2 linked regions of the Neodiprion lecontei genome follow. Each later gene encodes a partner of the first gene's protein in a complex. Links are inferred from orthologs where the notes say so. Each region holds a gene or a part of one and is shown in the gene's direction. Other genes may lie near its edges.

What was found.
Region 2: transcription initiation factor TFIID subunit 1 (region 1) and TATA-box-binding protein share a complex: the UniProt entries of both Caenorhabditis elegans proteins name them as parts of the TFIID basal transcription factor complex. The link is inferred for Neodiprion lecontei from reciprocal best matches to the Caenorhabditis elegans genes taf-1 and tbp-1.

Annotation. Positions count from the first base shown.
Region 1 is NC_060261.1:1,232,589-1,239,776, reverse strand, and holds the start of transcription initiation factor TFIID subunit 1, read left to right. Parts: upstream 1-2,383; 5' UTR 2,384-2,637; exon of another isoform or gene 2,638-2,760; 5' UTR 2,761-2,868; coding exon 2,869-3,633; intron 3,634-3,774; coding exon 3,775-5,321; intron 5,322-5,395; coding exon 5,396-5,658; intron 5,659-5,773; coding exon 5,774-6,135; intron 6,136-6,208; coding exon 6,209-7,188. UniProt on the Caenorhabditis elegans protein: The TFIID basal transcription factor complex plays a major role in the initiation of RNA polymerase II (Pol II)-dependent transcription.
Region 2 is NC_060261.1:14,534,589-14,541,477, reverse strand, and holds TATA-box-binding protein, read left to right. Parts: upstream 1-3,317; 5' UTR 3,318-3,679; coding exon 3,680-3,937; intron 3,938-4,035; coding exon 4,036-4,166; intron 4,167-4,228; coding exon 4,229-4,472; intron 4,473-4,547; coding exon 4,548-4,746; intron 4,747-4,984; coding exon 4,985-5,061; 3' UTR 5,062-5,398; downstream 5,399-6,889. Other genes in the region: exosome complex component MTR3, read left to right, coding at 32-285, 618-764, 1,028-1,324; splicing factor 3B subunit 5, read right to left, coding at 1,500-1,757; cilia- and flagella-associated protein 44, read right to left, coding at 5,683-5,723, 5,807-5,957, 6,059-6,350, 6,432-6,676, 6,801-6,889. UniProt on the Caenorhabditis elegans protein: The TFIID basal transcription factor complex plays a major role in the initiation of RNA polymerase II (Pol II)-dependent transcription.

The DNA of each region.
Region 1 (7,188 bases):
TTTCTCTCGCAAAATTACGTCGGAATAGTGTACGAAAGAATTTATTCCAGCACTTTTCAAAATCGCGAAGATTTTCGCCAAAAATGCAAAGGGGTTAGCCTTACTTTTTCTTCATTTTTGGAGCCGAAAATTTTTGGTCTCAGATTCGATTTGTATGACCTTCTCCTGACTAATTGGACCGCCAGGAACTCAGAAAACGCAGCCAAAAGAGCGTGGGATCAACAGGAGAGAAATTACGAAGGAGAAAGCACCTGCTGAAAAATGTCGAAAACACAGGTTCTCGTTTTTCGGCTCTAACTTTTTATCTGTTGCTCGCAGCGTATCGGGACTGCACCCAGTCGATTTCTCTCGCAAAATTACGTCGGAATAGTGTACGAAAGAATTTATTCCAGCACTTTTCAAAATCGCGAAGATTTTCGCCAAAAATGCAAAGGGGTTAGCCTTACTTTTTCTTCATTTTTGGAGCCGAAAATTTTTGGTCTCAGATTCGATTTGTACGACCATTTCCTGCCTAATTGGACCGCCAGGAACTCAGAAACTGCAGCGAAAAGACCGTGGGATCAACAGGAGAGAAATTCCGAAGGAAAAAGCACCCGCTGAAAAACGTCGAAAACACAGGTTCTGGTTTTTTGGCTGTAACTTTTGATCTGTTGCTCGCAGCGTATCGGGACTGCGCCCAGTCGATTTCTCTCGCAAAATTACGTCGGAATAGTGCACGAAAGAATTTATTCCAGCACTTTTCAAAATCGCGAAGATTTTCGCCAAAAATGCAAAGGGGTTAGCCTTACTTTTTCTTCATTTTTGGAGCCGAAAATTTTTGGTCTCAGATTCGATTTGTACGACCATTTCCTGCCTAATTGGACCGCCAGGAACTCAGAAACTGCAGCGAAAAGACCGTGGGATCAACAGGAGAGAAATTCCGAAGGAAAAAGCACCCGCTGAAAAACGTCGAAAACACAGGTTCTGGTTTTTTGGCTGTAACTTTTGATCTGTTGCTCGCAGCGTATCGGGACTGCGCCCAGTCGATTTCTCTCGCAAAATTACGTCGGAATAGTGCACGAAAGAATTTATTCCAGCACTTTTCAAAATCGCGAAGATTTTCGCCAAAAATGCAAAGGGGTTAGCCTTACTTTTTCTTCATTTTTGGAGCCGAAAATTTTTGGTCTCAGATTCGATTTGTACGACCATTTCCTGCCTAATTGGACCGCCAGGAACTCAGAAAATGCAGCGAAAAGAGCGTGGGATCAACAGGAGAGAAATTACGAAGGAGAAAGCACCTGCTGAAAAATGTCGAAAACACAGGTTCTCGTTTTTCGGCTCTAACTTTTGATCTGTTGCTCGCAGCGTATCGGGACTGCGCCCAATCGGTTTCTCTCGCAAAATTACGTCGGAATAGTGCATGAAAGAATTTATTCCAGCACTTTTCAAAATCGCGATAATTTTCGCCAAAAATGCAAAGATATAGCCTTTATACTTTATTTTTCAGCGAAAAATCTTTCGTCTCAGAACCATTTTGTGTGACCATTTCTTGACTAATTGGACCCCTGGAATGCAGAAAACGCACTCAGAAGAGCGTGGAACGTTCTTCGGCTGCAACTATCGATATGTACCGTAGCTCGCAGCGTATTCTATAGAGTTTGTTTATCAGCTGTATGAGTATAATAGCTATTCGAGGTATAAGATAATATTCCAATTACTCTATTTATTGTAGAATGGTAATGCATGTAATGCATTTAAGCGAGTCAAGTATTGTTGCCATTTCATATTATTATTCATTGTTTTGATGAAACGCCCTGGACACCCTCCATCATTTTCAGTATGGGCTATGCGGTAATAAGCGTATGAATAGGCGGCGTCTCAATCATGCACGAATTCATGGTTGTGGAAGCATGAGAATCAATTAGATTTTTTTCTCACCTTGAAAAATCGCTACATTTTATGTGATTTCCTTTTCGTTCCCCCATTTATTCCGTTTTTTCCACTGCCAATCAAAAATTCTAGATTTTTAAATCCTTGGGATAAAAACGCAACTGAGAACCACTGTCTCAACTACCTAGTTCAAAACTCGTGGCATTTCACCGTTTCGTCGTATCTATTTTCACTAGCGACCACGGTCTTTATGATCGGTCTGTGTACTCCGGCTGTAAAACCGTGCTCGAAAATGAAGCCGATGTTGTGAATTTTTGCCGCTAGCGCTAGTGAGGGAGAGGCCTACTTAATACGCATACACCTGCCTCGGAGATTGCAGCGCTCCGGTCTTTGGTGCACAAATTGAGAAACACAGGCTTCAAGTCGGTCACGCTGCGTTATATAGGAAGGGAATTGGAGTGCCCAAACCTGTTTATAAGACCGTGCTCGCGACCTTTTGCCACCAACGGCATGGTGTTTTTGCGTCAACTTCACGCCCGTGAAAATCCAGCCTCATCATCATAGTTTATTATTCACTGCATTTACCCTACTGCGATGGTAAATCTATTTCGCTTATCACAGTGGCTTATCAGCATGCGTCTGCAAATGAAAATTAGTTCTAAGAATCTGTTTTGCATCAGATGGCGCCAACACTCTAAAAAAACTAGCGTAAACTAGACAACGCTTTAAAAACGGGATATGATTGCGAGTAATGTTGCTAAACAAGGGGTGAGCTTTTGATTTCCCAAGTTCAATTTATTACGTACACATTGACAAGACGTTATAGGTGCGAAATTAATATTCGTAAAATACGATTAAAAACTAAAAAACTAAATTAATGTATCAATACAGGATAGTAATCCCCGCTTGTAAAGCCAACCATCTAACCTCAAAATAGTTAATCTTTACTGATTCAAAGCCACCGTTTCTCAAAAACACACTCATTTGTATCTGCTGAAAATGGTTGACTCAGACGAGGAAAACGACAGAGACATGGATCTGGAAATGAATATGACTGGATTTTTATTTGGCAACATTGATGAAGATGGTCAGTTGGAGGATGATATATTAGATTCCGAGGCGAAGCGCCATTTGGCTTCCCTGGGTCGCCTCGGCCTTAGCAGTTTACTGCAGGAAATGATTGCTCTAGACAATGAGGAACAGAATGAAAAAGAAAATGAGAAAGGAGAAAATGAAGATGAAAATAAAACACGTGTCAAATCCGAGTCTGACGATGTCAACTATCTAGAAAAATCTCCAACAGCGTTGGATTTCTCTGATATTAACGAATTAGCTGAAGACATAAACGAAGATGATGCAGAAGCGTCCTCCAAGAAACAGGATAGGGCAGCCAGTGACTACGATGCAGATGATGAGGAGGGAGTCAATAAATCTGACACTCAGTTAATGCCTCCTCCGCCCATTCCAGATGAAAAAGAAGCTCTGACCCCTGAAGAGGCAGAAGCTGCTCGCCAGCGTAAGCTTGAAACGCCCTTGGCTTCCATGCTGCCTTCCAAATATGCAAATATCAACGTTACGGAATTGTTTCCTGATTTTCGCCCCAATAAGGTCCTTAGGTTCTCGCGACTTTTTGGCCCTGGCAAACCTAGCAGCCTTCCGCAAATTTGGCGGGGTGTTCGAAAACGGCGGAAAAAGAAGAAACACCACGATCCGAAGGATTCAGACTCGGGATCTGATCACGACGAGAGGAAACCTAAGTTCAAGGTACAATAAATATTGAAAAGCTTTTAATTAGCTGAAAATGTAGTTAGGTACTCTTCTACTAAGCAATTTTGACATTAGAAAATGTTTTAAAAGCTGTGAGAAATATCACAAATTTGAGAATTTAAGTCAATCTTCCAACAGGGGTGGAAAATGCATTACGCACCGACTCCATCGCCAGATGAATGTATCCCAGATGATGAAGAAAAGTTATTGCTTCCCGTCGAAGACAAGGAACAAACTGGTAAAACTGGCGACATGGGAGACAGCAATGACATGGGTCCAAAAGTTGCAGACTGGCGCTTCGGTCCAGCCCAAATTTGGTATGACATGTTGGAAGTCCCAGAGACTGGTGACGGCTTTAATTATGGGTTCAAACTTGCGGAGAAAACTGAAGAAGTCTGCAAGTCAAAAGATGAGGATACATTTCCAGACGATTCCTTTCTTATGGTGTCTCAACTGCATTGGGAGGATGATGTCGTGTGGAATGGTGATGATATAAAACATAAAGTGATGCAAAAATTAAATAGCAAGAATAATGCTGCTGGTTGGGTACCTTCGAGCAGTAACAGAACTGCTCAGGCCTTCAGCCAGCCAGGAAAAGGAACTCCTGTTCCTGTAGCACCTAACGTTCGACTTGCTACATCGCAAATAGCGACTCCTCTGCACATGCAGTCTAAGAGTAAACTTGCATCGATGGGTAAAGGCAGCCAGCAGCAACAGCGTGAAGAAAACTATGACGATACTTGGTACTCTATTTTCCCTGTGGAGAATGAGGAGTTAGTTTACGGACTCTGGGAAGAGGAAGTTATCTGGGATGCTGAGCACATGACGAAAATACCGAAACCAAAGATTCTCACCCTAGATCCAAACGATGAAAACATTGTATTGGGAATACCGGATGACATAGACCCAGCTCTTCTTCATAAAGACAATGGGCCTCAACCTAAGGTAAAAATCCCACACCCTCATGTGAAAAAAAGCAAACTTTTGCTGGGTAAAGCAGGAGTTATCAACGTTCTTGAAGAGGATGCTCCGCCTCCACCTCCAAAGTCTCCCGATAGAGATCCATTCAACATATCAAATGACTCTTACTACATGCCTCGCTCTTCGGAAACAACATTACGATTAAAAGTTGGCGGTGGCAATTTAATACAGCATAGCACACCGGTCGTAGAATTGCGAGCACCTTTCGTACAGACACACATGGGACCTATGAGACTGAGGAATTTCCATAGACCTCCGTTAAAGAGGTACAGTCACGGACCTCTGTCTCACACTGGTCCCCACCACGTGTTGCCTCTCCTCAAGCACATCAAGAAGAAAGCTAAGCAAAGAGAACAGGAGAGAATTGCCTCGGGAGGTGGAGATGTCTTCTTCATGAGGACACCTGAAGATTTGACTGGAAGAGATGGGGAAATTGTTCTCATTGAGTTTTCTGAGGAACATCCACCTCTGATGAATCAAGTTGGAATGTGCTCCAAAGTCAAGAATTACTACAAACGAAGAGCTGGAAAGGATCAAGGGCCTATGCGTTACAAATATGGAGAGGTCGCTTATGCGCACACCAGCCCATTTTTGGGCATCTTAACACCTGGCCAAAGTATTCAGGCTATTGAAAATAACATGTACAGGGCCCCGATTTATGAACACAATGGTCCAGAGACTGATTTCTTGATAATAAGGACAAGGTACAGCTGCTTCAAAGGTTGTTGTAGAAATAGAATCACTCTAATCACTGGTCTAAACATTGCCCATTTTTCAGACAGCAATATTTCGTGAGGGAAATAGATGCCTTATTTATTGCTGGACAAGAGTGTCCGTTGTATGAAGTTCCTGGTCCAAATTCCAAACGAGCAAACAACTTTGTAAGAGATTTCTTGCAAGTTTTCATATATAGATTATTCTGGAAATCTCGTGACACTCCTAGGCGAATCAAAATGGATGATATTAAAAAAGCATTCCCATCGCATAGTGAAAGCAGTATAAGAAAGAGACTGAAGCTTTGCGCTGATTTTAAAAGAACAGGTACATTTCACTCTGTATCAGCCTCGTAAAATTTCCTTACATATTTCTATCAAATTCTGCAAAGAATAGTATTATTAAAAAATTTGTGATTTGTTACCTTCGTTTTTTAAACTAGGAATGGACTCAAATTGGTGGGTAATCAAGCCAGACTTCAGACTGCCGACTGAGGAAGAAATCAGAGCTATGGTTTCTCCGGAGCAGTGTTGCGCCTATTTTAGTATGATCGCAGCCGAACAGAGACTTAAAGATGCTGGGTATGGTGAAAAGTTTTTGTTCACACCTCAGGATGACGACGATGAAGAAATGCAGTTGAAAATGGATGATGAAGTCAAAGTTGCACCCTGGAACACAACACGTGCCTATATTCAAGCGATGAGAGGGAAATGTTTATTACAGTTGGCTGGTCCAGCCGATCCTACAGGCTGTGGGGAAGGCTTTTCTTATGTAAGAGTGCCAAACAAACCGACAATCAGCAAAGTAAGTACGATGCGAACATTTTTTGTGGGGAAGTTAAACAAAATGATAATAATAATTTCTCATTGCTGTTTAGGAAGAGCAGGAAGCACAGCCAAAGAGAACAGTTACTGGCACAGATGCAGATTTGCGTAGGCTTTCGTTGAACAATGCAAAGGCTTTACTACGAAAGTTTGGTGTGCCTGAAGAAGAAATTAAAAAACTTTCACGGTGGGAGGTAATTGACGTTGTGCGAACTTTGTCGACGGAAAAAGCGAAAGCAGGAGAAGAGGGTATGACAAAGTTTTCAAGAGGTAATAGATTCTCTATAGCTGAGCACCAGGAAAGGTACAAAGAAGAGTGTCAAAGAATATTCGACCTGCAGAATCGTGTCTTGTCGTCGAATGAAGTACTCAGTACCGACGAGGGTGAGAGTTCTGATGAAGATAGTTCAGATATTGAAGAAATGGGTAAAAATATTGAGAACATGTTGTCGAACAAAAAGACCAGTACCCAGTTGTCCCTTGAGAGAGAAGAACAGGAACGACATGAGCTCAGAAAAATGATAATGGGCGACATGCAAGAGCAGGAGAAAAAAAGTAAAGAGAAAAAGAAAGACGACGAAGATGATGGTCCTGTGAATAACTATGGACCGCAACAAGGTAGAGTGCTAAAAATATATAGAACCTTTAGAAATCCTGACGGAAAGGAATTCACCAGAGTTGAGCTGGTGAGAAAACCAGCCGTCATAGACACTTACATAAAGATAAGAAATTCCAAGGACGAAACCTTCATCAAACAATTCGCAACCCTTGATGAAGCTCAGAAAGAAGAAATGAAAAGAGAAAAGAGAAGAATCCAGGAACAGTTGCGCAGAATCAAACGGAATCAAGAACGTGAACGCATGCTGGGTGGCCCTGTGACGAATTCTTTCAGCTCCTCAAACTTATTTGAACGTTCAAACCTGAGTACCCCGCCAGTCTCGTCGTCCAGTATCCTTCCATTAAGTAATTTTCAATCCTCTACTCTTTCCTCTAAGCATCCTAAGCCTGAGATATCTCCCTCTAAACGTAAGAA
Region 2 (6,889 bases), about 13 Mb from region 1:
CGATCTGATATTCTTGATTTTTGAATGGCAGTTGTCAAAACTGGTGTTATCAGCCAAGCAAAAGGATCAGCCTACATAGAGGTTGGAATTACAAAAGTGGTATGTTCAGTATTTGACCCGAGGGAAATTCCAAACAAGAATGAATACAGTTTACAAGGTGAACTCTTTTGCGAGTTTAAATACGCCCCATTTGCCTGTGCAAAGAGACGAATACACCAGCAAGATGCGGAGGAAAAGGAATTCAGTCTCGTTATGCAACGATCACTAGAACCAGCTGTTTGCAGGGTATTTATTATTTACCATTAACGAGACGAGTATCAGCTACTTTTGTAAATTAGAAAAAATAGTTTCAGTATGTAAATATTCAGGAATGTAAATATTAATTAACAACCTCTATATATGAAATGGACAAAGGAAATCAATGATTTTTATAAAATTTTGGGCTCCATAAAATACGTTCAAATTATTAAGCGTACCAAAATAGGCAAATGAATACTATGCTAAAAAAATTTTTCTTCAAAGACATTTCAGTTTTATTTTCACAACTGTTTTAATTCATAAAGTGTTAGCAATTCAACTCTGTATTTGTTAGTTGATGCACAATTCACCTTTCACAGCAAGAGTTCCCAAATTTTCAAGTCGACGTGTATGCTCTGGTCCTCGACAACGGTGGCTCCTCTTTAGCAGCAGCCATAATGTGTGCCAGTCTTGCATTAGCAGATGCAAGTGTCCCCATGTTTGGTCTGGTTACTGCAGTTTCCGCAGTAAGTGAAGTAAAGGCAGTAGATGCTCGTGAAACCTCCACAGGCCAACTCAATTTGAAATATCTTCGTAAAATCTTTCACAATAGAAACATCTTCATTCATAATGAACTATTGTCAAACTGCATTCTTCACATGGATATGAGTCTCTTGAAAATTTCAATTATAGTGTTACAGAAGTGCAGATAGACGGAAAACTGTAATAAAAATAACAGCTGTTGAGATATTTATGTTCCTTAAACTGTTAACGAACTTCTCATTTTCAGGGGTTCTATAAAGATACAATGTTTTTGGATCTGACAGTGGAGGAAGAGGTACTTTGTAATTCTGCACCAGCAAAGCCAAACCCACCCAATAACCATGGACTGATCATGCAAGCTGCTTTACCGCAACATGACCAGATTTCAGAGTTTTTTCTCGTTGGAAGCATTAACATAGATTGCATAAAACAAGCTATCGAAACCCTCACTGTAGCTAATAAGAATATATGTCCAGTTGTTCAGCAATGTTTAGTCAAAACTGTCCTCAGAGCTTTAAAGCGAAAGGAACAGGAAAAAAATTAAATAAAAACATGATTAGAAATGAATGAACCTTGAAATTTTCCATTGATTAGTTTGACAAGGAGAGCATGATGTACATAAAAATTTATACATTCATTTGAGTTGATAAGAATTGGTTTATTTATATTTTTAGAGTAACAGAAAAAATCAGTTCGCAGCTTATTTTTTATAGATAGGATTAATCTTCTGGTTTTTCTGGAGGTGGGCCACAAGGCTGCAGCATTTTCTCCATCAGATTAAATCTGACGCGTGCCTTGGCTTCGTTTTCAGCTAGCGCAAAAAAATTTAGAAGGTCGTAATGCCCCATGTAAGAGCTACATGAATCTCTGTGCTGATTAACCAACCATTCAAATTTCGTTGTGTCTGCATGACCTGTCCCAATGTACTTGGATTGAAGATGTTCCAGCTGACTATGGATATTGTAACGTTCCCCCATTCCTAAATTGAACAATAACAAAATGCGTGATACATAACCTCGAAATTATAGGTTAGCGCTATTAATGGGACGCAATATTCCATAAATTCATTTATCACCGTCTGTCGTATGGCCGAATGTACTCTTGCAATATGTAATGTCAGTTATACTTCACAATATTAACAATTACTAAAATAGTGAAAAATTTCACTTGATATACTTTTCTACTTACTTTTGACAACGCTCTTGATAAGTTTCTAGTACACTTCTTGGTCTCTCTTATAAATGATTAACGAGATCAGTTTTCTAATGTATGTACAAGATTAACTACTTGGTTTTCACAAAAGTTTTGTTGATGTATGTATGCAGGTCCAGATGCCGAGTCCGTATTTTTATCAGTTTTGACACAAAACTAGACAGATATTGTCGAACGTTACAAATCACGCTTCGTCTTGAAACCATAGACTTATAAAGATAGACTAAGCGCTCCTAGAAGAGGCACTGACAATCACATATAAGGGACAGAGATATATCAGGACTACTGCTCTCACTTTTCAATTGGCGTCATGGTGGAAGACAACGGAGCAGTGGAAGTGGAACAGCTGTAGATATAGGCGCATAATTTCGCCTCATTCTCCTCTATCGCCTCGATCCCAGCCCCAAATATCGTCAGAGAGAGAAGGGAGTCTCCCGGCATATTTCTGTCCTTTAAATGTTTGCTTCAAGCGGCTCATAAGACCGCTCAGTCTATCTTTATAAGTCTATGCTTAAAACTGATGATGCACAGATAGTGGTCAAGCTGACCGCATTCAACCTATCTCTCTCACTCCGGATTGATCTTTGGCATACCTGCAACCAATGCCACTTCGGTAGAAAAACTACACTAGCAACGCTAGTAGTACAGAAAATAACCCTAATGTGTACAATTACTGAAGACAAGTTTTGTCCGTCTTGTGTTGGGTGTTTGGTCAGTTCCCTGACACACGCTGCTAAAAGTGGTTCGCAAAATGTCCCTCGATTCTGCCGCCAATCTCCACCACTAGTGGCGCTAGTAGTTGTCTGAAAAGCGTGCGCGCGGTCTACGAAGGCAGCGAGGGTGTCAGAAGTTTACTAGCGCCACGTAGGGGAACTAAAAAACGGGGACAAAACGCATACAATTTTTTAGTATACGAGCAGTGGCGAGTGTCAGGGGGCTGGTGTTTGGCTCTATTTGCGACCTGAAAAAAAAAGGAAAATGATCATCATTCTCACAATGTCCACCACCGCTGTAGGTTAGCTGGTGACGTTAAGATCTTGGCCGTGTTCGTAAATTGACTAACAGTACTCAAAATTCCCTAGGACAGAGTCAGAGCTATTCACGAACTGGGAAGCGCAAAAGAGATGAAAGATTGCTGACAGTACTGTCAGTCAATTTTCGAACACGGCCCTTATCTTACTCATCCTCACAGACGCATAAGGCCCCTGGCGGATTTCCGTCGTACTAAGACAAAATAATCACAGTAACCGAGGGCCAGTTGGACCACCTCTTATTCTTACACCGTGCCCCCCTCCCCCCCCCCCCCCTCCCCCGCCGCCAATCTAACCTATCCTGAGCTAACCTAACCCATCCTCTTGTACAGAATTATTGTTGATACCTTAACCGAAAATGGTGTCTGTTGAAAAATGAGTACAGGATCTCCCTAACTTCGGAATAGCTCATATATTAGAAGAATGAATTTGTGATATTAAATTTAAGTATGTGATTTTGTATGAATGTGTCGGCGAAGTATTAGATTATCAATATAACAGGGTAACGACACTGCACTTTCGCAAATCAACATTACTTGGTCATCAAAGTAATGTGCTAACTGGCCTTAGTTACCAAGTTCACTCGATTATCAAGATTGCACATAGTGGCAAATTATAAAATTTGTATTAAATTGAAATTTACATAAACATCCACGATGGATCAAATGCTCCCGAGTCCGGGATTCAGCATCCCGAGTATCGGCACACCGTTACATCAACCTGAAGAGGATCAACAAATATTGCCGAATGCGCTACAACAACAACAACAAGTCCAACAAAATCAACTACAGCAAATGCATCCGATGGGTTCAAACGTACACGGAATGCCAATGTTGGGTACACCGCACAAAACTATGCACACTTATGCTCCGGCATTCGCAACGCCGCAAAGTCTTATGCAGCCACAAACACCGGTAAACACTATCTATTATTTCACTCGCTTTTTCACCAACTAATGTTATAAAAGTTCTTAACCACTTAAGGATGATGTTTTGCTATTATTTTTTCATAGCAAAATATGATGTCGCCTATGGTTCAACCAGCAAGTCAAATAGCTCCCCCTTCAATCGGACCGTCAACTCCAGGCCCGATGACACCAATGACGCCTGCTTCCGCTGATCCTGGAATTCTACCCCAGCTTCAGTATGTTCCCATTGGCTACTGAATGTCTGTTACTATTTGTTAAATTCCTAATTATTCCTTAGGAACATTGTGTCAACGGTGAATCTCAACTGCAAGCTTAACTTGAAGGAAATTGCGCTACATGCTAGAAACGCCGAGTATAATCCGAAACGATTTGCAGCAGTTATAATGAGGATAAGAGAACCCAGAACTACCGCCTTGATATTCAGCAGCGGAAAAATGGTATGTACCGGCGCTAAAAGTGAAGAGGACTCTCGCCTGGCTGCAAGAAAATATGCACGTATCATACAGAAGCTTGGATTTCCAGTGAGTACTTGTATGTTGTCAAATTTCATATGATGAGATCCGTTTCCTGTACGAAACTTATTAAATTTTTATTAGGCTAAATTTCTGGATTTCAAAATTCAAAATATGGTTGGAAGCTGCGATGTCAAATTCCCCATCAGATTAGAAGGACTTGTATTAACGCACGGCCAATTCTCTTCGTATGAACCAGAACTATTCCCTGGCTTGATATATCGAATGGTTAAACCCCGTATCGTGTTGCTTATATTTGTTTCTGGCAAAGTTGTATTGACTGGTGAGTAATTAATCAAGAAAATCCAATGAAATATTCACAGCTTTTCGCTTGATATGAAATTATTTCTGATATTTCCGATAAATCCTTCACATTTGTCCTGCTAATAAGTTACCATTTGTCCCCAAATAGAGATTACAGTTTGCTGATCATTGTGAATACATGAGCAGTGCTTTCCAATTATTTCATGTCCAGTAATTGTAGTAATACATACCGATAATAATATTCTTGTTACCAACAGGTGCAAAAGTACGGCAAGAAATTTATGAAGCTTTCGATAACATATATCCAATTCTGAAGAGTTTTAAGAAGCAGTGATTCCCAACTGAATCTGACGATATTTTTGATACCCCGATGAAAGAATAGTCTTCTAAAATCTTTTTATTAATGCTGCTATTTGCAGAGGTGTACAGAACGACGAGTGTTCGTTATTTGTTAAAAAAGAATAACTGAAATAGCAACTACTGAAAATGTTACTGTACAAGACAATTGACATGAAGTACTATCGGTTTTTTGCGAGCACTTATATATTCTTACAGGCTGACAGGTGCCTTATGCCGCAAAGCCGTTATCTTTTATGAACAATTCTTAGATTAAGCTGTTGATTCTGGGCTTTGCCGTTAAGTAATGAAAAATAAAGTTAGTGTACCAAGTATTTTACGAATCTACTATTCCAAACCTCCCAGTAAATCAAATTTAACAAATGTGTGAAATTCAAATACACTGTAAAGGAATCAACTATGAGCACAGTTTTTTGAGAAAAGAATATGTGTTATACATAGCAGTGAATACGACATGTATTTACTGTTTCACTGCGTAGCGAGAGTTTATGAAGTAGAACTAACGGTTTCTTCTGTAAATGTTGTCTGAGTCATAGAGTTATCCAGCCTTTTTCTTATTGCTGCGACATTTTCTTTTTTTTTTTTCCTTTCAAGATGATTATTCTTTCGAATCAGATTCTGATATCTTCTGTGTTGATTCTATGATGTAGGAATAAAAATTAGATTTCATGTACCATACATCACCCGTAATAGAGAGCTGTTTAGAACAGAATTAAATTTACCTCTTTTTTCTTGAGATTCCTGTCTAGTTAACTCTACTGTTGGCAGCGAAGGTTGAGTCTCTTCGATATATAGCTCTGTAGTTTGTTCTAGAAGCTCGCTCTCTTCATGTTTTACTGCAACTGTTGGTTCTGGGTGTTCAAGTTCATCGGCCTTAGGTATTAACAAAGAAAATAATGATTGACGTTAAATTTCAGCTTTGGTCATCCAATCAAACAGGATGCATTTCGAATTCGAATAATTAAATATCTTACCGATACCTGGGATTGCATAATCAGTTGAGAAATATCTGTGAACACCTTGGTTGCATGTTCTCGTATATCCTGTTTCTCATCATCGCTAGTATTGTCTGGCAGATTGCTCAAGAGGTGATTTGTTGCAGCAGTTACTCCGTCTTCTTCTGCCAACAATTCAACTAACAAATCTTGAAGAATAGTAATATCTATCCCAGTTTCTTTGTCTATTCCAATATCATCGAGCAATTTCTTTACAAGTCGCTGCGGTTCTTCTTGGTCTATCCTTACTATCTTTGTCTCAGTGTCCAATCTTTGAATTGATGCATAAGTGGGTGAAAAATTATTAATTTATAAAAGTCCCTCGAATAAATGACTATTGTGATTAACTAACCGAAATACAATTTCGTTAATTATCTCCCGGATGGCTTGACACATTGCTTCAACATTTTCCGGGTCATCTTGTTGTGGCAGTGACGCAATAATGTTTTCAATACTTCGTTCAATTCCAGCACGCAATTCCTCTCTACTGCCGCCGATTGGCAAGTTAGACACCACCTCTCGCAATATGTCCCATTCCACACTCTCCTCTTCATCTCCTAACGAGGCCTGAATTATTCGTGAGAGCAAGTGGTGTACCTACAAAATAACGTTGGTGAATCCAATCTTTGAGTTTCGTTATTATTATTTCCTCTTATTTTTAGCACTTAGAAATCTCGTCCAGCATATGTAGCACCAAATACGTATAACAGTGCCAACAAACCATTGTCGACGTATTATTGTCGCACTCATCCATCGGCTGCAGCTGCATGTTGTCCTCATCATTTTCTTTTTTGTCATACATTTCTTCTG